2 linked regions of the Struthio camelus genome follow. The main gene of each other region encodes a partner of the protein of the gene in region 2 in a complex. Links are inferred from orthologs where the notes say so. Each region holds a gene or a part of one and is shown on either strand. Other genes may lie near its edges.

Region 1 (11,913 bases), on a different chromosome or scaffold from region 2:
TCAATTTATCTCATTCTCTTATCAGACTACAGTTGTTATAATCTGATACATTTTGGACTATGTGAGCCTTTGACCCAGCTTAGCAGGAGCAATTGGAACCTCCTGCAGCCAGAACCCCATTCTGCGGCCTGTGAGTCCCATCTGATGTCCTGTAAAATATCCAGAGCTGCTGGGCTGTACCACTCAGAGCGACCGTCTAATAAGCATTTTCTAGCTCAGGCTGGTTGGATTTGCTGCTCCTGGCTCTGGAGAGACGGGGCTTCTTGTTCTTCTGAGGCCTGACAGTTTCCTTCCCAAAGTCCTTGAGCTCAGACTGGTTGTGGTAGCGAGTGTAGCGCTTGCATTTGCAGGCGGTGACAGCTCGGAATTTGTAAGTCCGAGTCTCTTGCTCAGGACATGTCATCTGGATGCGCTGCGTGCGAGTGTGAGCAGGGATGCAGCGGTAATCCAGGGCGTTCTGGCGCCACCACTTCCCTCTACCAATAGAGTTGGGAAGGAGGTGTGAGGGGACACACTGGCCAGAGCAGACCAGTTCCTTGACAGGCTTGACGCTGCGGCAAGGCCCCTCAGTGACATAGTGGGTGGTTCGCATTTCTCTGCAGCTAAAGTCGGAAGCATCTGCAAACAAGAAACACATTAATTCCTGAGTACTTTTTTTCATCATCCTTGCAAAAGCAACTTTTTTGTTTCCACAGCAGGTATCTAGCGCTGAGCTTGAATGACAGATTTTGGAAGGAGTACCTGCAAAGCCCTACTCTTGTAGCTTCTGAGTTTTTGGCCGTTCTAGCTATAAGACCCTTGAATTGTCATGTACAGATTGCTGAATAAAATCCTTCTCTTGCCACTAGGTAAATCCCATGACAGGATTGTGCCGGTGGGCAGTGGAGCTGCTGACCAACAGCCCCAACAGCAGCAGGTACTTGGGGGAATTCAGATAATGATTCTGCTGGCTTCATCCACCTGTAGGCAAAACCTTTCTCCATTTACTCTGGTTGAAATCTATCGACTTCAGAAGTTGACTCTAGCAACAAGGAAAGTGTCTCTTAAGTGATTTATAACTAGCATAACCTGTGTTCCAGGTTAGGGATATTAGCAGATTACTACAGTGCTAAGGAATTCCTGTGCTTCAGGCATTAGACTTTCCAAGCTTACTGCTCTTTGTGATAATCCCACAAGTCCAACATCATTTTTTTTCAGACAACTAGAGGTGTCTTCTGGCTGATTAGAAACCTTAACTGTGTCCCCTCCCCCCCCCCTTTTTTCTTAATGGACAGCAATAGGCAAAGGAAGCATTAGAAAATACAAGCTTTCTGGCGTTAAGAATTGAGAAGAACTTTCTGCTTGTAGGCATAGACCTTTTCCTTGAATAATGGATGTTTGGATGGATTTCTTTTCATGGGTTGGAAGGGGGGGAGGGGGCAACTGCCGAGGGGGGAGGGAGGGGGGGCCCCTTTTGCCAAGCAGAACGCTTTGCTTATCAGCATGCTTGGAAGACATAAAGACTGATTTTTTTTTTTTTTTTAAGGCGTTTATCAATGAACTTCATCTAGGTAACTGCATGCTAGTGCTCTTCTCTTAATCAAAAGGATAACTCAGGTTAACTTGTGATGGAAATCATCAGAGGTCAACTTACAAAGAGAATGCTGTGTCTGTTAGCCCCATTACCTTTGCTGTGTACAAAATGTTTCCCTCCTTCGTACACCAAAAGAGAATTCTGACCCTGAGTCATTAGCGATAGAACTATATTTATACATACTTTTTCATTTTTTAATTTGTTCTTTTCCGTGAAGTGTGGAACCATGATTTTTAGTGGTTGGATTTATATGTATCTAAATACAGCTTTCAGGACTTCATGTTTTAAAAGTTTTATGGACTGCATTAGCCAAATCTGTTGAGCTTTGTCACAAAGCTGTGATGAAAATGCTGGCAACTGAACTCCACGTAGGCTTAGTCTGATCCTCCTGAATTACCTAAGCGTTAGGAAAATTACTTCTTTCTAGGTAGAAAATAACAGTCTGAATCAGATGTTCTGGACCATTGCAGTACATAGGCAGATATGGGTGGCTATATGGCCCTTTGCCTCAGCCATATAGATTTTTTTTCTGCACACACATGTCCTGTCCTGTATGTGTACAGGTTCCACATACTGCAAAATTATTTCATGGTCTTGGGCAACTTCATGTGTCCCAGGAAGGTCTGGCAGCTTTTGGACTATAGTTTTGATTCCTTGTGTTAAAGATGTTAAAATAAGTATATGAGACCATTGCATATCTTGAATGACTATCCAATCCCCTTTTCTCTCGCTCACTTTCTTAAATAAACGTCCTTTCCACCTCAAAAAAAATAGGCACGTTTCAGTGGGCCAGATTCCGTTCCCCACTGCAAATGATGCCAAAGTAGATAGAGGCTAGAAAACCAAGGTATTCAGACGTAGCTACAAAATCAGCCCATTTTGATCTGGTGGTTGCTGGCGATGCCTGTGAGAAGCAGAGAGCTCACTCCTACATATTTAAGACCCTTATGATATGGTACGCTTAAAAAACATGACTTCTTTTTTTTTGTTTTGTTTTGTTTCTTTTAACAAAGAAAAAAATACTATTCTTTCTTTCTCTATTCTTTTAAAATACTGCTAATGCTGTGGCTTTCAACCCCTAACTGACAGCTGCAGCAGCAGGACACAATTCCCTTCCAGTTGTCCACAGAAGAAGAAGTGTAGCTCAGATGTGAAATGCCCAATAGTGGAAACCAAGTTTGACTTGTTGCTATGTGTGTTTGGCAACCAAACACAGCAGTCTGAAAGAATGAAGTTTGGCTTATTTGCCAGCAGAAGTCCTCCTTTCAAACTGCTGGTGCTAGCTCCTCACTTCCTGTCTCTCCTCACAAAGTTGTTTTGCGTCATTGTTGATGTCAGACATTTGGCTAAATACAGTGATATCGCATTAGGAAGTACGTCAGTTGTGTCAAAGTAGTCAAACCGCTCCCAGGATTGCACAGCTCTGCAGGATAGTGAGAGTCCCCGCCAATTCATTTGGGCATAAATTCCCCTTGGGAGTGCGTTAACTTGCGCATAACAGCTTTTTTCTGGCTACTGGCATCTGGCTGAAGCTCCGGCTACTGTTGGCAAAGGACAGTGAGCAGCACGCTTCTCTGGTCTAGCTCAGTGTAAACTCCATGTGACCTTTTCATTGTGTGATCTTAAAGACATCACTAGTATGACTCTTCCTAAATAGTTAAGAAACCTTACTGGCTCTATTACCAAGCCATTGCCCCATCCTAATTTCAAAGAGAGAAAGAAGACCCATGCTGTTTCGCACAATGCTTGCAAGCGTGTTACACAGGGAAATTTAAACCGCTGATGACTGCTGCTTGTATTGTACGTTTAAAAGTCAAGTTTTTCCACAGGTTTTACGTCCTGGAGTTGTGTCTGCACATAGCTCCTGGGCAGGACGGGAATGCATATTGTAGTACCTAAGGATTGTTTAATAGATAAGCCATACCTTTCTTTTATCAGTTAACCCTGACATAGCCCTCCTGATGTTTGCATTGCTACTTCTTCAACAGTGGATGTAATTCCCTATCACTTACAGCATTAGGTCCATACCAAAAGGTTTTAATAAATACCCATAGATGATACTAAATGTCCTCTCATAAACTGTCTGTTAGCATCTAAAACAGTAATACAACATTTTTCTTACCATTAGGGTCTGGAGACTGTTGTATCTGTCTTCCCCCATGCTTTGCCTGGTTCATTGTATTGTTGTTGTCACTGTAAGTCTGCTCCATCGGTGCTTCTGTATTTTCAGTGATCTCGGGAATGATTTCTGTAGCATCATTTTTAAACATTTGCCACCCTTCCACCGATCGAAATGCAATTTGGATTAAGACACAAACAGAGCACATAGCCCAAGAGATCTGCATGGTGGCAGCCCCCAGATTAGCTTTGCAGCACCCTCACAGCCTCAGATCCCAGGCAAAGGCAAATTATTGTCCTTTTTTAAATCTTTTTTAGAACCAAGCCAGCCAATGACTATACAAAGTGGGAAGGGCCAAACAACAACTCATTCATCTAAGCTTTTGTCAGTATGGGTCAGAAATTAAATGGGTGTGTGGGGGTGGTTTAGCAAAAAATACTCTGTGTGCTTAAAAGCTTCTCATATACTTCATTTTTCTGCCTGGTAACAATGGTGGGTGATTGACAAGACTAGGATGAGCTGTAGCCTGACAAGTCTTTTCTGCAAATTTTTCTAACAGTGTTATAATTAAGCTCTGCTTTGATCTCCATATTTGAAACTCTGGTTATTGTCTTTTTCAAGGGGTTTCAGACTCATTATTGGGAACTTTTTTTCTGTGGGGTGTGGGGTTTCTTTTTTTTTTGGTGCCTTTTTTTCCCCAAGTATAAAGTAAGCACAATTAGAAACTGTAGCTCAGTAGTGATGCATTTCAGTCCCTGCAGATAAATGATTGAGGTTTTATAATTTTTGTTTTCTTTACAAAACAAGGATCTCTGCATTTTGTTTCTCAAATGGACTAGAAGAAACAGGGAAGAGCTCTTCTTTTCAAAATGAGAATTTGTTTTACTTAGTTTTCCTTAAAAATATAGGTTATTTGGAGCATGTTAGTAAAGCTATACAGCCAGATTGTTGCACACCGTGCTTTCTGATGTGCTCTTTTGCACTTTTTTTTTTTGCATTTGCATTTGCATTTGCTTTAATATCATTGCATACCACTATTTCTGCTGACATTTTGTACAGCAGATTGTGTGTGTTGATTTTTAGGACATTTGCTTACTTTAAACACAGAACAGGGCCAGACTGATTTGTAATCATGGTACAACCAATTAGAAAAGAGCTGATCTAATACCTAGGACATCTATGCCCAAGATGTGTTCATGTGTCATGTTTTAAAATCTCATCTATGGCATTCTTCTTTTCCCTTGCAGAAATAAAGTGATAGCGGGGACAGTGGCATGCAAGTTCTGTGCCTCAAGACCATAGATATTTCCACATTATTTACAAATGATGTCAGGTTAAATACATTAATCAAAAAGTATCTCACCTTTTAAGTTAGATTAGAAACTACAGTGAGCTCTCATCATAACTACTGAAAACAAAATGTTTGCATAAAGCAGTAAAGCACCTCTGTGCATAGCTGCAATGTTTGTCACACACAGTTCATCCCTGTGAAAATATTTCGTGTAGAACAGATGTTAAGTGAATCACTTAACCAGCATTTTTTTAACAATTAGCTGGAATGTCAATAACAGCCTCTGTGCTCTGCCTTCTGGTCTACCTGTCTGAACACTGCAAACAGCTGGGGCCGTCTGTCTTCTCCCTGCTCCCTAGGACTGATCACCTAAGGCTTGCATTCCAGTCTGACAGTTGCCCTGACCTGGCACGGAAAACAGGTGTCACCAAATTTAAAGTGAGGGGCACATTCACCCTTGGTGTGACCCAGATGAAAAAATAATACATTCAAACAATAGCAATGATGACTTGAGGACGGTTCACCTCTTCTGCCTTCCACACACACACACAGCGACGCACAGCAGATGCAATAGCGGCACTGAGTTAGATGAGCTGTAGCCTACTTATTTTGTATAATGGTCCGTTCCTAAAACAATAGCATCTGAAATATACTGTGACATGCTCTCTCTCCTGCCCTTTCTTCTCCAAAATTACAGATTAACACGTTTTGGCGGGGCCTTTCTTTCCAAATAGTCCCAAGAAGCTCTAAGAGCAATTGTGCGTTGTGTTGCATACAACTGTTTGCACTGTTTCCCTCTCCCTGTCTCCCCCCAGCCTGCATCCTCCTCATCCTACCACCACAGGAGTTACTCTCTTTCCTAGAGAGGAATACAGTACACTGTTGTCTTCATACATGAAACTTTTTTGTGCAGAGTCTGTCAGGATGTCGTTCTTTAATAACGAATGTTGCCACATCATTTGCCGGAGATGTGCTGTTTCCTTTCTTCCTATAAACAGCAGCAACAGGGCTGATTATCTTTCATTAATAACTTCCTCTTACGCTCCAAAGCAATTAATGCTGGTCTACGCTCCAAAGCAATTAATGCTGGTCTGACAAATATAGGAAGCCCAAATACTTAGCCCTTGCAAAGGTTTCTCCAAGCACAATTTTTTTCACTTACGACTAAATCTATTTTCCATTCAAGGTATTGCCCACCAAATAAAAAGGATTCTGAAGAAAGGACAGATGCCTGCTTCGAAAGCTGTGGATTCATCTTCCTTGGAGGATTCTTTTTGTAAAAACAGGTTAGATGATCATGATCAAATTATATTTGAAATTGTGTATGAAGATCTCTTAAGCTCTGCTTTCAGCCCTTATAATATAGCTATTATTCTTTTATTCAGAAAAGAATCCTGGGGTGCATTAGGAAGAGTGTTGCCAGCAGGTGGAGGGAGGTGATCCTGCCCCTCTACTCAGCCCTGGTGAGGCTTCACCTGGAGTCCTGTGTCCAGTTCTGGGCTCCCCAGTACAAGAGAGGCACGGCACTACTGGAGAGAGTCCAGCGGAGGCCTACAAAGAGGATGAGGGGACTGGAGCATCTCTCCTCTGAAGAAAGGCGGAGAGAGCTGGGCCTGTTCAGTCTGGAGAAGAGAAGACTGAGAGGCGATCTCCTCAATGTGTACAAGTATCTGGCGGGGCGGGGGGGTGGTCGAGAGAATGGGGGCCAGCCTCTTCTCCGTGGTGCCCAGCAACAGGACAAGAGGCAACGGGCAGAAACTGAACCACAGGAAGTTCCATCTGACCCTGAGGACAAACTTCTTGACTGTGAGGGTGCCTGAGCACTGGCACAGGTTGCCCAGAGAGGTAGTGGAGTCTCCTTCCCTGGAGATACTCAAAACCCGTCTGGACGTGATCCTGGGAAATATGCTCTAGAGGACCCTGCTTGAGCAGGGAGGTTGGACTAGAGGATCTCCAGAGGTCCCTTCCAACCTCAACCATTCTGTGATTCTGTGAAACTGTAACGTGAAGCTCTAATGGCCCACAAGAAAAATAGTGGGGTTTTTTTCCTTCAGTTTTATCTGAAAAAGTGGGGAAGGGTGACCAGGCACTAAAAGCAAGGATCTTAACTCAGTATTCTTTTTGTCAGGGCAAGAATACCAGTAGCATAGTGACCTTTTCCAAAGTAACCTGTGTTTGAAGAGCTGATAGGTCACAGCTCATGGCAGAATGGGAGTGCAGATGAAAAGCAGAACAGGAGACTAGAACAAAGTTGAGTACTGGTAATCTCTGAGGAACCGTCACCTATTCGCTCCTCTGTTTAAATGTCTTCAGAATTGTGTCTCTCTACTTAACGAAGCTCTGTTTCTGTTAATTTCTTTTCACATAACGTCTGCATAGAGAGTATTTCGAGGTTCATGATATCATTGTCAGCGTTAGGCCTACTACAAAGAATCACACTTACAGCAATTATTTTCAGATGAAGCATAAACGATTTCTTCCATGCAGTTTCACCCTAAGTATTTAAACAATCCCCTCTTTTACCGGTCTTAACACTTACCTGTATCGATGACTGGGAGAAATCATGGAAAAAATCTAGAAAAGCCAAAATTGGAAGCTATATTTAGCCTCTGGCTTAAAACCTCCTGTGCACAATTTAGGAGGGCAGCATTAGTAGGGGCAAGAAAAGCAGCCAAATCCTGTTAGGCATTCAGTTTCCTTAACTATAAAAACACTTTCACTTCCTGTAGTTGGTTGCCTATTCACTCTATTTTCTGCAAAAAGGAAAGCAGAAGTGGTCTGGGCTGCAGCCCCCATGAACAATTCATTCTACATTGTTAATGAAGCACAGGAAAAAACAAAAATCATTTTTGATTTTATAACATCGAGGACACTTTCATAACGACCCTCCTTCTTCCCCCCCACCCCGGGTGGAACCGAGTTTGAGACCACTATCCGCAGAACTGGGATACTATTATACTATTTTCTGAGCTGAAAGAACACCATTAGTCTAGCTAAGAAAGCATCAGATGTATTGGTGGGAGCGGGTACAACTAGTAAACTGGCATCCTATACTTAGCCTGAAGCCTTTACTGCTGCTGTCTGGACTCAGACTTGTGTCCTACTGAGCTTAAATTGCAACACTGTACTATGAAGGCAAACGCATAGAAAACAATTTCTAAAATCAGTTCTGCCAAATGTAATCTCTGGTGCTAAACGTACCCCCGCAATAGCTGGGGCCGGGGTTGTTGTGTTAGATATCCAAGCACTAAGATACACGTGCACAGTTTATAAACTTTTCTGTGAATTAGGCTTTAATTTGCACACTGCCCAGGAATTCCGTTTTTGACAAGCTCAAGAGCTTCCCTGCTTCTCAAACAGTTCTCTTCCCGAGATGCTGCTGAGCCAGCCTTGCCTGAGTAACTTTTATCTTTCTCACGAGAATTCTGCTGAGCCATGTGTGGCCGCCTGAATATATCAGGCTGAATGCTATGTTGTGAACTCCTCTAAGAAGCCAAGAAGAAACGGAAGCTTAGTTTTCTCCCACCGGAGATGAGCAAACGCATTGATAAACCGTTGTGGTGAATAACCTTTTTTGATACTAACAAGAGAATACATTAGAGTCATACAGTAGCATCACCCAGAGATGGAATTATGACTATCTAGTGAAGAATAGTAAGCATACAGCTCCATCTGGTGGGAGTCAGCTAGCCGGCTCCCTTGAGATACTGGAATTAAAATACAAAGCCTTAATTCAGCTGCACGCAACCTGAGTTTGTAGGGTTTATGTCCAAAATAAACCAAGGAAGAGGTTATCTAAAGGGTAAGAACTGGAGTCAGTCATTGCCCATTCAAAAATTATAAGCAGACATTCTTGATTTACTCACAGAATAGAGCTGCATTTAAATTCAAGACAGACCTATCCCATTACTTGCTGTATTTGACAAAGACTCTATCATTTTTCTAGTGTGGTACTTTCTGTAGGACATACTGTCTCCCTAAGGGAGTTGCTCGGCTACCAGTTTTAATTTTTGGTTTTGCAATTGCACAAGATTTTAGCCATACCTCTTGTATTGTCTTACTGCTGTGTAACAGATATCTAAGCTGATGAATGATTAATAATGGTGAGAGTTGATTTAGCTAAAATTAGTGTTGAAGAAGTTGTTTCTAAAATAGTGGGTGAAATTAACAACTCCATGATCAGCTTGGTTCAGGAGCCTATCTATCTGCAGAATATAAACCAAAATGTAGCACTGTGCACATCAATCCAAATCCACTGATTACTAGAAGAATGATCTGAGATGGCGGCAAAATATATGCAAGGTCCAAAGCTACGAGATGGCACAAATAACAACAGTCAGCAACAGCAGCTTTCCACAAGAAACGTACATAACCTTACTGTGAAAAAAGTAGAGTAACATATATGTATGATTAACATACAGTAGCATTTAACTGTTTGTAAACTGGTTGACAAAAGCAAGAGTTAATTCTTCAGCGTAACAGTCAAAGCCCAATCTATAGTAACTTCAGTCATTGATCTCACTATCGACATACAATAAATTTGCCATATGCTTAGTCAGATTATTTGTACTTGAGAATGTACCAAGCCTGTATGAGTGATATTGACTTGGTACATCTGAATTTTTGAAATAAAGCAGTACCAGGAGAAAAAAGGGGCTAAATCGGCTATTTACTACCACGCTAACCTTCCTACTAAGAATTATTTTTTTGTTGATGCATATATATTTTTCCAGTTTAGTCTCTACCAGAGAGAGTGCTTTACAATCAAAAGTAGACTTAACAGCTCCACGTATATAAGAAGTATACATCAGAAAAAGAAGAGGGGTTGTGAAAAGCCTGTGGAACTATTAACTGACTGTGAATGATAAGAAAAAAATTCTGTAGACAGTTAGTACAGACTGTTTTTATCTCCAGGGCCAAATAATTTGATTATTATATAATTTATGGATTTTAATTATATTTTCAGTAGGGCATTACAGACTTCTAACTCCCAAGTTTCCGTAGAAAATTACCCCAAACAAAATCAAAGGCCTGGTTCACAATTGCTCATCTGGATTCAGAGTTGCAATGACATACACAGCATGAGTTAGCTAGCATAGCATAAGGATATGAATTCTCAATAACAAACCCTTGGAAGCTACCTCTGAGGTCTGTTCTGTTTTCAGTTTATTCATTGATAGAGCCCAGACAGTAATTTTAGAAGAAACCTCTCTGCTATACTAATGAGACTACATTGGATAGTCCGTCTATGCTAAGACTCTTCTAGTAAACTAGCAAAACTGATTTAATAAAGAAGGGAAAAAAAATCCTGCTTCCAATTCAAGTGTAAGAGATTGAACTATTTCTGGTCAAGAGACAACATCTCATTGAACATATTTAAATGATGAAAGTAAACATTGCAAATATCACATCTACTGCCATGGTTCTTTTTTTTTTTTCTTTTTCCCCTCGGCATGAGGAACATATACCTGACATAAGCTTGTCTTTCAAGTCAAAGAGCGTGTAGTGTTATTATATACCGTGCTTTTCATCTGCAAAGCCTTTTATGAAGTTTAATTAATTCTCACAAGACCAAGAGAGAGAAGTGAACTCATGTTGCAGGAGAAAAACATGTCCAATACTGACACGTGCTCAACATCCCCAAATGGAATTACAGTATGGTTTATACTGGCTGCTAGCCTTGCATTCATATGCTGTTAGTCTAATTTTGAAATAGCTTTGCAAAATGCTCACTTGTCAGCAGTGCTCTATTGCAACATCCTTCTGTGAAGTATTTTCTGGCGGTACCTTTGGTTCAGAGTAGCATGCTAGATACAACACTGTTGTTGTCAACAGTGTAGTCTTAGCTGCATGGCAAAAGGATGAGGACAGAAAGCGCTCCGAAAATGTCATTTTTGCTTTGAATCTTAATTTTAAGATAGAAACTCCTCCTCTGTGCTTATATAACGGGTGAGATTTGGTTCAGCATGAGATAACAAGGTCAATTTATTTGTACATATATGATCATTTTAGAGGAATTATTATCTAACCAGACTTTCATCTTTGCTCCGTGTTACAAAATGCTAGTAGTTCCTTCCCCACATCTTCCCTCCCCCCCCCCCCCCCCCGGGATTTGACAGGCTGGATATCCTTGTTCTGTGACAGATGCATATTCTACAGAGATCCCATCCCTTCTCCAAAGCTCTTGTCTACACAAAAACTACCATGCTGCTATTCAGGATAAACATATTCATATAAATCCAGACTACCCTATTTTAGCTATCATCAAAAGATTTTTAAACACCAAAAATGTTATGTTTCTGCTTGCTTATTTGTTTTTTAAAATACCTTCTCCAGCTAGCATGCTTGTAAGGAACACCTTATCTCAACAGGCAGCTACATGGTAACTTCATAAACAAAAAGGCATACTTCTTCTGATATTCTGTCAATGTCACATTATAATGGTAGAAAGGTCTCATTCCTCTTTCTACACAATCTTGCCTTCCACAGTCAGAAAGAGACACACAGATGCACATGGCATATGATTATGGATTAGAGGAATATAAGCTCTTCTTGGTCCACTAAGATAGGCAGAAGAATTTGCAGCGTTCTAGTACTTAAACAGAAAGATAAAAGAGCAGTGTACAATCCATTAATGGAGCAGTGGTGTGACAGCCTAACTATTTTTAGCCTGTTCTAAAGGCAAAGTTAGAAATGGTTGAGAGTCACCTATCAGTAACTCAGACTAGGATATGCTGTCTCAGAGCTCAGTTTAATTAATTTATGAGCGTCTTTCTTAGTCTTCTCCCCCGCATATTACAACACGTTTGTTAATTAAGTTTTGTTGTATTGAGATAAATTGGCCAGAGTATCCCTGAAGTTACCACTAGAATGGAGCAGTGTCCTATGAATCAAAAAAAAAAAAAAAAAAAACACCTGGAACACATGAAC
Region 2 (12,928 bases):
GTCTTCGGCTCCCAGTGTGTTTTCTTCTAACATTGCAACCAGGATGCCTTTTGATATACAGCATTCACGACTGACTACTGCCACAATGTACCATAGCAAGCACGTATCTTCATTAATAATTCCTCCAGTTAAAGTGCCAAGATTCCTAAACCACAAATGAATATAGGACTCTGAACTGGCATTTCTTTCTCCTCTTGAAGCTTTACTTATTAAAAAAAGTGTTTGGTGAAATTAGCATTTTATATGTATTGTTCATAGAAAAGATCTCTTAATATGCTAAGATTAAATGGGGATTTTGTTCTGCATAAGCTCTTTTCAGATCATTCTAAAGGTATTAGCGTTTTCACAACTGTAGTAAGGAAAAAATTAGTAAAAGTTGCATTAACTGCAAAGCCCTGACACCGAAAAAGGCATTGGAAGGGGCTTTAGAAGACATGGCTATTCAGACACAACTCACTGGCTTTTACGCAAAGATGCATGTGACCAAGTACTATCTTTGTGGGTTTGGTTGGGAAGGTGGGGGAAGAAGGAAGGAAGAGAAAACCATTGGATACCCTCCTTCTAATCACTTCTTTTCTTGGGAGGAGAAAACAGAATCTGTTTATTACTAAACTTAATATGATGGCTCTTTAATAATATCTTTACAGCAGGCATAACTATTGTAAGAAATATATTCAGGGGGACATCTTTCTATGTGTTTGCCTTTGTCACCTACCTACATTTAATTGCCAGCTGCACTTGAAGACTCTATCAAAGTCCACACTGTAAGGAAATTATTCAAAGAACTAACAGAGATGGAAAAACAGCAAACGAGACTTCAGCCATGGATAACAGCCTCTCCCACCCTCTCAGCACACAAAGAATGAGTCAGAGGACATAAGCCGTGGAAACCATTATACATACAGCCAGGGCAAGCCTGAGGGCCTACACTCACTCCTGCTACTAGAGGCAATGAAGTCAATGGGCGATATTTTAGCCAGTGCCAAGGGTGAATTTGCATGGGGCTTTTTGCTGCCCTGTGCCTGCATCTCAACATCTTTTGTGGAGGCACAGGTGGTTACAGTACATCGGGCACTAGTGCTGCTGCCAGCTGGTAGCAGGGCAGAGCAGAAAATATGGCACTGCGTTTCCCCTCCAAGCGCTGTGGCACCAAAGCACAGCTCGGAATGGTTCCAATAAATCAGAAATCAATGAACTATAGTAAAATTATAGGCAAAGCCAAAGCCTTTTTGTAAAAAAGGGTAGACTGTAGAATCTGCCACTGTCGATTATCTTGGGATTTCATTAGTTACACCCCACTGAAAAGTAGGCAGGACTGATTAAAACTTCTAATATCAGTATTTTGAGCAGTTGGTTTTAAGATTTTAAAAAGCTCAAAAACCAAAAAGTAGGGATTTTCTCCTCAGAGTTTGTTCCTGCAGGAGTAAACTTGAAGCGGTATCTTATTTTAAGCATTTTTATGATTCTGAATTAAACTGGGGACATATATGCGTCCTATATGTTGCTCTTCCAGGGCTTGAGACATGCTTCCCACCGTAAAACATAAAACCTATAGAACAGAGTACAGGTAAATAGTTCTGAATAGTCAAAGATGTCAAATTTTCACTGGCAAATCCCTGGCAATGTTAATATAACGAAAACCTTACTAAGAACGTATCTCCATTCTTACTTTTAATTTGCTATCTATGAAGAAATTAAAAGTGTTAAAAAAGATTTTGGTTTTCCTTGAAATATGAACTGGTCCAACATCTTGCATTTTTGTGACCTTATTTTACCAGTCCCTTAAGCAGAGGAAGGCTTCTTGACTATTAAGCCTAAAGGTTAACCATTAGAGGGCACTCTTCTCTCCTCTGAAAAAGAAGTGCACTAATAACTTATCATGCTTTTCTAGCATATTGTGAGAACTTATCTAACAGGTAAGAAAAACAAGGCCCCGAAGACTTATCACACTTGATGATCCATAGCGATTTTCTTGAGATGCTTAGTGTCTTGGCTGAATTGCAGGCTTAATTTTGTATCTTCTCCCCAGAGTTTTCTGGAGAGGGATGATCCTGTCTAAAATGCAATGCTCCCCAGGCACTGCTATAGTATTGCACATTAGCCCAGAAGTGGCCATTTCAAGTTGCAAATGAGCTCTTTCCCATGTATTGCAATATGTATGTTATATAAAGTTTGAAGAGTGCTGTATGAAAGATGCTATGTGATTGTTAATTACTGTGACACAGGGACTTACCTTTCTGCACCAAAGGCATAAATTCTAGTCAATAGTCCCCGTGACTAAAATAGTGTGAAGAGATACACGATGCTTCACCAGTAACTAATTTTTAAGCTTCAAAGGCTAGAGTGCAAATCAGAACTGGTAAATATTATGGAAGTGCATTGCAAAATGCTGAACTCCATGAAAAGGTTATGAAAAGGAAGTATTTTTAAATTGTTGTTGCTTAAAATGCACGCACGTTATGGTTAATAGAGCCCAGATGCTGCTCATTTTTGAAAATTTTAGCAAACTAAAACAAAAAAGTGTTTTGGTTCCTGTCAGCCTGAAATGCGATCTCTTTTAAAAGGATATTTTAGCTGCATCAGCCCAGCATTAAAGTACTTTACAAATTTTGGAACTGTAACTTTCTCAAATGACATTTTTATAATTCAGCTTTGAAATGTAGCCATGGCTAAATATTCATAAGGCAAGTATTGGGTTTGCCCTGTGGTCTGGTGGGCAGTGCCAAATTAAAATCAGAATCCTGCACAGTTCACACTGAAAATGCTACAGCTAAGAGGCAGTGCTGTTTTCAACTCACTAGGAGATGGAAGAGGAGAAAAGAAGTAGAAGGTAAATGGCCTGGCCTTGGATTCACCATCAGCATCAGTCCAAAAATTCCCCCAAAGGTGTAAAGAAAATGCTCAAGCCTTTGAGGTCATCTATTTCCCATTTCCCTTTGGGGATATCACCGGACTCCTGTTGGAATAGCTTGCCTGTACAGTCTGCTAGGCTCAAGCAGCTTCTCCTCTGTGAAGTTTTTGTTGTAAGGAATTTTTTAGCCATTTTAAGAAATGCACAGTTCTCACCCTGAGCACCAGGCAACATCTTCTGGTAGAGAAGATGAGAAAAAAAGAATGGATATTATACTTACACAGGGGAAAAATAAGATAGTAATGAAGAACAAGGAGAGGAGGCAACTATATGTGGTACAAGGGGACTTCATAGGATATTTGACGGGAAAATTACCACAGAAGTAGTGGGAGTGATAGTGTTTGCTGTGCACTGACAGGCTCTGGAGAACCCCTGCAAATAACTGCAAAGACAAATGAGGTCTCAGGGCCTGGAGAAAACTTCTGGAATACAGCAATGACTATTAGGCCAAGGAAACATGTTGGTAAGCTGCCTATCTCCTGTTGAAAAAGTATGTTTCATATAGTATGACAGTAAAAGTGGGGGACAAAATGCCTCTGCTTATGATTGAACTTCAATAAGGAGTAAATAAACTGATAATCTGTTCCTTAAAGGGAGGACACTGGTGAGCCCATTGCACTCTTGGAGCAGGATAATCCTTGTCAAGCACCTTTAGCATTAAATGATGCTTAAGTTACTTAGAGCTGACCTCCTTTGGGGGAAGTGTTGGATGAAGGATTTTTGTTTATAAATTGCAACTGTACGACCTAGGCAAAGTGGCATGGTAATGATGCTGGAAGTTAGGGTCTCCCATTTATCTGCTAAACGGTTGTAACGCAGAAATCACTGGTGAAGTCATCACTGTGCCATGTCCCATTCCCTAAAATATAGTGCTCCAGACTTTCCTACTGGGGGCAAGAGAGGACTTGAGCTTGAGTTTCAGTATGAAATCTTGGCCCTTTTGAAGTTGGTGAGAGTTTTGCCATGGACTTCAGGGGAACCAGGATTTCACCATGCCATGGCCCATTAATTCTCATCGAGACATTCAGTGAGGGAGCTAATTATGATAGTGGTTTCTGTGATGTGGTCAGCCCAAATTCGTTTGCTGAGTAGCCATCTTCTACCAACAGCTTTTGCTCATTAGGGACTTCAGTCCTGGTCCTACAAAGTCCCATTGCCTTCACTGGAACTCGGGGCATAGCTCAAAGATGTGGTGACTTGGGCAGTCGCTGCTGGTTGAAGGAGCTCCATCTGCTACTCCTTGCTGTCCTGTGTGCTGACACAACTGCTTGTCAGGCTGCACTAGGAACCTGGCCAAGGAACTAATCTGAGTATAAAACACCCCTGCAAAAGCTCTTGTATCATTGAATCACTCTCTGAGGCTGGAGGTAAGGGTATGCCTGTGTAGCAGATTACTTAGATGGTGATTCAAAGGCTTTAGTAGCTAAGTCTTGAGGTAAAGGACACCTGTGCAGATTTCCTAGCTGTTGAAGCCTCTGACTGAATTTGAACAGGCAAATGGTGATTTCTGTTTTTAAGAGAAACAAAAATAATAGTAATCAACAAGAGGAGACTCTTTCTAAAATAAAACAGACAATCCCTCTCCACTCCCACTTGCTTTATTCTGATTTCAAGCTCAAATAATGGAACATAATAAATATTTGAGAAATCTTATCTGTCAGGGGCCTTTCTGAAGCAGGTAATCTTGCCTCCTATTTTACTTTGTAAAAACCTCTGCAATGGAGTTTATTCTATGAATGAATTACAAGTAAAGCTGACAAACTGTAGTATATCGGCTTGATCTTGAATCCTAAATATAGATGGGAAAACGGGTTCAAAAAAGGCTACCTACACTTGAGTAGAGGTAGAAGGATTTGACCCTACAAAGGCTGTGGGAAATAGGGGATAGGCTGAGGTAGGGGAAGCCAAAAATCATTAAATAACTTAGAAGAATGGACTATCATTAAATGACTATCAGGAAAGGAAAGGGCTTGAATTACAGCAAAATGGTGAAATGCATATATGGGAGGGGTGGGAGCATATGAACACTAAAAATAAAACCAGTCAGCTTGGACAGCAGGGAAGATGTCTTTAGCAGTGACAGCAAACAGGCGGGGAATCAGGCTCCCAAGGGAGATAGTCAAGACACCAGAGTGCTTCCAGCAAAAATAGATAAGATGCTAGTGGGAATAGCATGTAGAGAAATATGTTGCATGAGGAACGTTATGACTGTATAGCGTAAGCTAAAAAAAATCACCCAACCCTCTTTTTTTATCTGATTCCAATTAAACAGAGCAAGCAGAACACTGTACTCCCTCTGCCTGTTTCTGCAACATCTAGTTGTGACAAGGGTAAGATGAGGGTTATCTACTGTCTGGGTACATTTTTGTGTGGGAAGCCTTTACCCTCAACCATCTATGCAGCTCTCGTTGGAGTTTGCTCATGCTCCCAGCTGACATTGTCGTAACGCAGGAGGATACTTCACCCAGCAGAGTCAAGGACAACATTTTGTAAGGCAGACCTGGCCTCAGGCAGGTATTGCTCTTGAGTTGCATTGTTTACAGTTTCAAGATCTTTTTTGCAACCTTGAAGGCTGGAAATGTATTTCTTTTTGTAGATGGTTTTAACTGTTATTCTTTTCCAGTAAAAGTTCAGAGTCTGGTATTATCACGACTCCAGGAGCTACAGCCTGATGCTAGAGTCAATCTGCAGTGCCCAGACCTTTAATGTGACCCAGATGTTATCTCCTACTGTAATCATAAGAAAAGCTATGAAAAAGTATGTTCAACAGATATGAAATTAAAAGTTAAATGTTTCCATAAGTTTCTAATAACTCTAAAATAATACAGGCTTTCGAATGTAAGGATTTCAAATTTTGCTTCAAGTTGTTCTGCTTCATAGCTTTCCGCTAGTGAACAGCTCTCGTATTCTGTGAGAGAGAAAGTGGCACGTACATCAACAGTCCCTGTAGAAGTCCTCATGTAGAGTTTGTAAACTGGAGAAAACACAAGAAAGTTGGATTTTGTAGTGCTTAGGAAAAAAGAACAGACTAGGTAAGGAGGGAAGCGTTTTAAAGCAAGGGCATGTTAGAAGATCACAAACTTTTTTTCCAGGAAAAAGGCTGTTTAAGCGGATATAGCTTGTGAAAAGAGCAAGTTATGCCTAAGCACGGCACATTAGCTACTCTTTGGCATTCATTTGCTGTTTCTAACTACTGCTCAGAGTAGTAGTTTGTGCCATTTAGTTTAGTAAGGGGAGGGGGGGGGAAACCAGAATCCCCCTAAAAGTGCCGCGAAATAAATCACATGCCACGACATCAATCAAGCAGCAAGGTCCTATTGATAAAGGAATGCATCTCAGCGCTGCCCTGGGCCAGATCAAGGTTATCAGTCCCCACACAAGGGGGCATGCATTGTAACTGCATTTCGCCAGGAGCGCTTGGTCTTTTTTTTTTTCCTTCTTCTTCCCTTTCTCCGCCTGCTACTGTACTATGAAGCGGCTCGGCCCGGTGCCGGGTGCCCCTGCCTCCCGAAGCCGAGCACGAGCAGGCCGGCGGGAAGCTCAGGGACGCGGCCGGGCACCGCGCAGGCCGACAGCGCCGCCGCGGGGGCTGCGTCGCCATTTGGGCCGGGGGAGCGGCCAGGTACGGCCCGGCCCGGCCCGGCCCGGCTCGCTGCCCAGGGGCAGCGCGCAGGCCCGGCTCCACAACCTCACCCGGCAGGCGCCGCAGCGGGCCCGCGGCCCGACCTCGGAGGACGCGGCCGGGGCTCTGGGCCGGCCAGCCCGGCGATGCCCGCCTTCACCTGGAGGCGGAGGAGGAGCCGCAGGGCCGCGGAGGGACCCTTTGTCCTGCCGCCGCTCCGCGCCTGAAAGTAGTCCCGTCCCTCCCAGGGCTGATGTTGTTCCGAGCGCCGTATCGCACCTTCCTCCCCCCCGCCCCCCCCCAAAAAAAAAAAAAAAAAAAAGAAGAAAAAGGCAAAAAGCAGCGGCGGAGGGAAAGGAAATAGTGCGGGGGGACTGCGCAGCGGCGGCCGGGGGCAGCGCCGGGGGAGGCGCGCGAGCGGGGGCGGGGCGGCCGTGGGGCGGCCGTTGGGCGGCGTGGGGGAGGCCGGTATCCCTGCGCCTGTGCGCGGCGGGCGGGGGCGGGGCCGGGCCGGGCCGGGGCGAGCGGCGGGGCTGCATGGGGGAGCGGCGGCGGCGGCGTTGGCAGTGAGGCGGCGGCGGCCGGGCCGGGCCGGGCCGGGCCGGGCCGGCGTGGAGGGAAGCGGCCGCTGCCGTGGCGGCGCGGCGGGGGAGGCGGCCTGCTAGGCGGCGGCGAAGGGCGATTTGCGCGGTTGCCCTTCTCTGCTCCTCTCCTTTTCCACCTTCTCCTCCTCCTCCTTCTCCTCCTCCTCCTCCCCGCCGCCTGCCCGAAAGTATGAACTGGCAGCGGCGGGGCTGCTCCTCTCCTCCCCCTGCTCCGCCGCCGCCGCCTCCCCGCCGCCGCCGCCGGTGAGAGGGGAGCGAGGGAAGATGGGGGCCGTCCTGCGCAGCCTACTCGCCTGCAGTTTTTGTTCCCTGATGAGAGGTGAGCGGGGCAGCGGGGGGGGGGGGGGGGAAGGGGCGGGCAGGAAAAGTTGACGGGGTTGTTGCGAGGGGCCATGTTGTGTGAATCCAGTCAGGGAAGGCCCCGGTGGCCGGGTCGGGTCGGGCTCCCCGCCCCGCCGCCCCCCCGGCCTGCCCTGCCCGGCCCTGCCGTGCCCCCGCCGCGGTCACCTCGCGGGCAGCCCTCTGGGCGCTCGGCAGGCAGCGCACGGTAGTGGTGGTGGTTATTGTTGTTGGTGGGTTTTTTTGTTTAAGTTTGCCCCCCCACCCCACCGCACCCCGAGCTGGTCGCGCCTCGCCTGTCTGTCCGCTGCGGATGGACAGCGGAGCAGCCCCGGTGAGGCGACCACCAAAACGTCACGCCAGTATTGCTATTACAGTCATCACGTTCCTCTCCTCTCCTCCCCCCTATCCGCGAAAGAAAGCGTTTTCTATTTTTCTTTTTTTTTTCTCCCCCCCCCCCCTCCCCCGCGGGAGGAGAAGTGGGGAGCCCTACACACTCAGCGAGAGAAGGCGAAAGTCTGTTAAAACTAGTATTTCACTGACATTTTCCACACACCCGAAGTAAGTGCAGTATGCAGTTGGCAGGAGGAGTAATGCTCCTCTCCGCTCTGCTGGGGCTGTTTTGGGACTTGAGAGAAGTTTGTGTTTCTGTGGTGGGTTGTGATGAATGCTAATATAGCCTTAAATAAGCATTCCAGTGCGCTACAAACGGATATCACTTAAAATACTTGATATAATTTTTATACCCCTTCCCATCTCTCAACATGACTTCACATATACTTCACGGCAACATCCATTTCTCTGTGTTTGCTTTTCCTGGGGAGAAAGCAGCTGTGATGTTTGCATCCATCGTTTTGTTATTTGTTTGTATTTTTTTCATACTACATGGGAGAGAAGATTAATTGCTGATATTTAAAGAAATCAGCCACACTTTGATTTAGAAAATTAGTCTATTGCCACCATCATTTTGTTTTGAAAGCTGGAGTGAAGGTGGTTTGGGTTGAAGGAGATGCTTGGTAGCCAGTTACTTAGTACTCTAGAAAAGGAAAAATTTCTTCTTCCTCCTACCTTTTTTTTCTGTGCATCTGTTTGCCATATTGTATCCTGTTTGCAAAGATACAAGTATATTTATTTAAATAGGCTATGTAACATTTTGTGGTCCTCTTGCAGCAGTGAAATCCAATTTTCAAAAAGTTCAGTTGGATATGAAGCATAGAGAAGAACTGTTTTCCAATTGGTTCATTTTGTTATGTAACGGCCGTACCTGTTCTTAATGAAACATTTATCTGGCTCTAACTTGCTGTTTAACCTAGTTTGAATGACAGCTCAAAAAAATCACTGTCATACGTAATGTCACACAATAGTAATCACTTATTGTCACTTCTTCAAATTAATATCCAAATAATTACATGTCCTTTTGCGAATGTTCATTTACTTGATGATGCTTAATAAGGAACTTTGAAAAAACACAGTAAACTGTTTGGACTGTCTCTTTTTTTCCCCCTTCTCTCATCTTTGTCGATTGCCAAGGACTTTTGTATCAAAATTGTGTCTTTGTTTCTTCAGAGTTCATGTGCTCCTGCTGCTTGATCACCTACCTGAAGTCTCCATCTTCTATTTGTAACAAGATATTAATTTTCCTACTGGCTAGTTGTTACCTTAGGTAGATATAAACAGCAGGAACAGCTGAACTCAGAAGAAACAGAAATCAAATTTTAATGCATGCATCCTCCCTAACAAACAACATCTCTGCAAGTAGAATTGGTTTGAATAAGATATGTTTGGCTCATAAGAGGTGTCAGCAGTTCCTTAATGAGGCAGAGGCAGTGCCAGCGTGAGTATGAATAAGTATATACATGAAAGTAGCAGTTCTGAAGGTCACTGTTTGGTTTGTAAATTTAGTGCTGTGAAAGGTGCCAAGCCAAAGTATTGGAGACTGAAACCCAGAAAATCTAATAGCATGTATTTGTGGATTGCAGAATCCTCTCCGCTTAGAGAAGTAGCCTCCCTTTTGCCGCTGACTTAGAAAAAGCAAATGGGCAGAGGTTTACGATAGCTACGATCGCTAGGGAAAGGAAATGATGATAGATACGTTTACCAGTGTGGAAAGGATTGAAATTGATAACCTGGAAGTGCAGTGTCCTGTGAGCTTATAGCTTTGGAGAAGTACCAGGCAGTTGCTAGCTAGAGACAGGTGCACAGTACAAGACACCTCTCTACCAAAGTAGTCCAAGGACTGTGATGAGCCAGATTCTGTAGCTGTTTTCAGGGCAGATATTTTGATTTGTAAGGGCCAGGAGGTTAACATCACTACAGCCTGCTATGGAGGCTTTGTAATTTCTTTCATATTCTCTTTGATGGAAGAAAGGGGTCACTTCTCTGAAACTGCCAGACCATCATCACAGTCTGACATCTCTACTCCTCTTACTCCTCTCTTGGCTCCTGGTCTGATGTTGGGGATTGAGCTTTCCTCCTCTCTGAACGTGAGCAGTGTTCAGGGAGCAGCTCCAAGCAAGGCTTGGAGGACTGAGCTTGACCTGCTTCGTGGCAAGTTTGCTGTGCTCTTCATTGCAGCTGTGAATCCAGTCAGGATCTTGTTAGGTAATTGACAACTGCAAAGAGGCAAAAGCTGTAGCATCGGATCAGTTCTAAAACTTTGTAAGTGGGGAAACTGAGATTTCACTCTTTTTAATATCAAGCATTCATGGCTTACCTTTCTTCCAGAAAGAACTTTCCAGTCAGCATGCGGTTACTGTTTTGTTTTGCTTTTAAATGCTGAGCATGCAAAGAGTGCATAAAGCTGTTGTTTGAATAGGAATCTTATAAATGATGTTTGTGCAAATGTACTGAATGTTGCAGATCTCGATGCATAAGGTCAGTTAGTGAAGAAATGAAAATGCCCATTTGGTAATGGGCATTTTAAACGCTCTTACTTCCCCCTTATGTGCTCAGAAGAGAATTTGCTTTAATTTGTTGTTTATAGTAACTTCCTTTCGATAAACAGAACATCTTTGCTTTTTGTATCTTTTTAGATAAAGAGTGGTTTGTATGTGGCTTAGAAGAGCTTAATGTTCAAGACTTGCTAAGCTGTAAGTGATTGGAGGTGTTTGCATGTGTTTTTCTGCCAGAAGTCAGAGAAGGGGACAAGGAATACGCTTTTTACTTCTGAAGCAGTCAAGTTGGAGATGAAGCATGGAAGAATTCGAGCTGGAGCTACATTTTTAAGTTAAGGGTCTCTTGACCTGTGACTATACAAAACTAATGTATTGACAATGAGACCTGGAAATATCCTTTTTGTAGTCATCATGGTGTATTTCTCCACCCAAGCTTGAATCAACCATATTCTATTCATATTTTTTCAGTGTATGATTCCTTAGAAATCAGTGTGACTTTTGTCTACTGTAATTTCTAATTCGTTTTACTCTTTTGTCTCTCCATAGAATTATCTAAAATTAGCGTGATCTAAGGTGTTTTAAAAACTCCACCATTACCTTAATAGTTTTTGCAATTGTGCCTCTGATATATTTCACTGTCATCAGACTGCTTCAGCAATATATATATTTTTTTTCCCCCCCAAAAATTAGGAATGTCAGAAAGCTTGGTAGTGTGTTTGGTATGTCTGGGATGTGAGGTGAAGTAGCCTTTATGGAAAGGTATGCTGAAGATATGAGGAAGCTGCGGGTATATGGATGAAGCTGCAGATACCTAATCACAGGTGTACGAAAATGGTGGGCTCCTTGTATCCTTCATTAGGAGTTTTCTAAAGTTATTCAGCCGAAAAGCTTCTTATATTCATGATGTTTTACAGAAATACTGCTTAAAGGGGTGTTAATCATACACCCTTTTTGTATGATTACACATTTTTCCCTTGTGAACTGATTACCATCTGCATTCTCTGAGTTACAGATAACATGGGGATTTGGCTGGAATTTTTAGGATGAGTAAACAAGAGGGTTTTTGCAGGAAGACAGGTCAGGAGCTAGGGCATAGGAGCCTTTTAAATTGTCTGTCTTTGGGGCCTGGAGAAATCTGATTCCTTTGGACATCTGTAATCTACCTTTATGATGTCACATCTCAAAAATGCTGGTTTCAAAATATCTGCTGTACTGCATACAATATGGGATTTACTTTTTAGTTTGAAATCAAGTAGAGTACAAATATATATATATATATATTTTTTTCTTCTGAGGGAGTAGGGTAGGGGAAGAAAACGGGGAGAAACAGCTCTCATCTTCTGATGTCACTGTTCATCTCCTCTGGCAGCCAATCTTCAGACTTAAACGCTAGGCATATTTGACCTCATTAATTTCCTGGGAAATGCTAGCTACTTAGGTTGCTTTGCTGGTGGCTTCATCAAGAGTCCACTTCCCTGTAGTACAGGGAGGGTATGTGTCATTGTTGAAAGGCACCAGAAATGTTTCTAAAGCTTTCTTGTACACTGCTGCTTGCAGCTAAGCCAGCTGCTGAGTCCTACCACTGTACCTGGGAGTGCTCCTCGCTCCTCCTGGGAAGCCCTTGCTCTTCAGCTGGCTCACCAGAGAGAGACTTGGTTCCTAAACTACTGGAGGCTGGCTGTATTCTTTGCTGCCACTTCTTTGATGACACATGAAGGGCCGTTTGTATTTTGAAAGCAATAGTTACTGGTGAAGAATAATTTATGTTGGTAAGTAATTTCCCAAATAGACTTTTACTGGTGAATAACATAAATTGCTTAGAAAGACATGGGGGGGGTGTAGCTGTTTTCCAAACTTCAAGAATGTTGTTTGTTCATATTCATTTAAAGCAATTGGCATTGTTCACTTACAGTTCAGCCATTGAAAGGCTATGGCTCTTGGAGTACGATCGCTGGTGTGTGTGGACATGATGCGTGGGATGAGCATGCAGTGACTACTTACAATTCTTCTGAGTTGAACACTTTGTAGTGAAGGCCCTACTAGAGGGTAGTTGCAGTGACCGTCTTTGTTAGCCGAAAGGAACTCACTCTCCTCTAATAGCAACCTTTATTTATACAACCTATGCCTCACTTGTGTAGTTTGACCAGAGTTACAGAATATACACCACTGGAAACAAAAAAGCTGCATGATTCTTTTGAAGAACAATTGTCCAAGGGTTGGAAAGAGAGGGCATTGCATCTTTAATGGATTTTACATTAATGCTGGTTATTGACACCCTAAATGTTAAATAACTTTTACCTATTTAGATTTGGCAGACAGATTAACACGCTTGGAGAGCCTTCGTTTAGCTGTCCATATATTCTTGTATTTATAAATATTTATGGAAGGAGGTTCACAGTTTGCTCCACATGAGTAGAATTTGATTTGGCTACAGTGGTGGTGTTTGCAAGTAGAAATTAGTTTGTCATAATTGTTACTCCTTTCCATTGTGTTCTCCTGCGTTCTGGTTATGAAAATGTGTTTGGTTCCCTCCTCCCCCCCGCTCTCCTTGTGATTA

What was found.
Region 1: the proteins of LRP6 (region 2) and SOST are in contact, whole or in part, in a crystal structure (PDB 6L6R), measured with the Homo sapiens proteins. The link is inferred for Struthio camelus from reciprocal best matches to the Homo sapiens genes LRP6 and SOST. Residues at the interface, in NP_001401174.1 of Homo sapiens: Arg28, Asp52, Val70, Ser71, Glu73, Leu95, Ser96, Asp98, Glu115, Arg141, Trp157, Trp183, Asn185, Ala201, His226, Phe228, Trp242, Met269, Arg336, His361, Asp379, His404, Asp406, Thr422, Glu447, Arg449, Trp465, Trp491, Asn493, His534; in NP_079513.1 of Homo sapiens: Leu115, Pro116, Asn117, Ala118, Ile119, Gly120, Arg121, Arg169, Thr171, Arg172, His174, Asn175, Gln176, Ser177.

Annotation. Positions count from the first base shown.
Region 1 is NC_090966.1:8,175,549-8,187,461, forward strand, and holds the start of SOST (sclerostin), read right to left. Parts: upstream 6,181-11,913; 5' UTR 3,919-6,180; coding exon 3,696-3,918; intron 619-3,695; coding exon 197-618; 3' UTR 1-196. UniProt on the Homo sapiens protein: Negative regulator of bone growth that acts through inhibition of Wnt signaling and bone formation.
Region 2 is NC_090942.1:81,180,092-81,193,019, reverse strand, and holds the start of LRP6 (low-density lipoprotein receptor-related protein 6), read left to right. Parts: upstream 1-7,156; 5' UTR 7,157-7,402; coding exon 7,403-7,457; intron 7,458-12,928. UniProt on the Homo sapiens protein: Component of the Wnt-Fzd-LRP5-LRP6 complex that triggers beta-catenin signaling through inducing aggregation of receptor-ligand complexes into ribosome-sized signalosomes.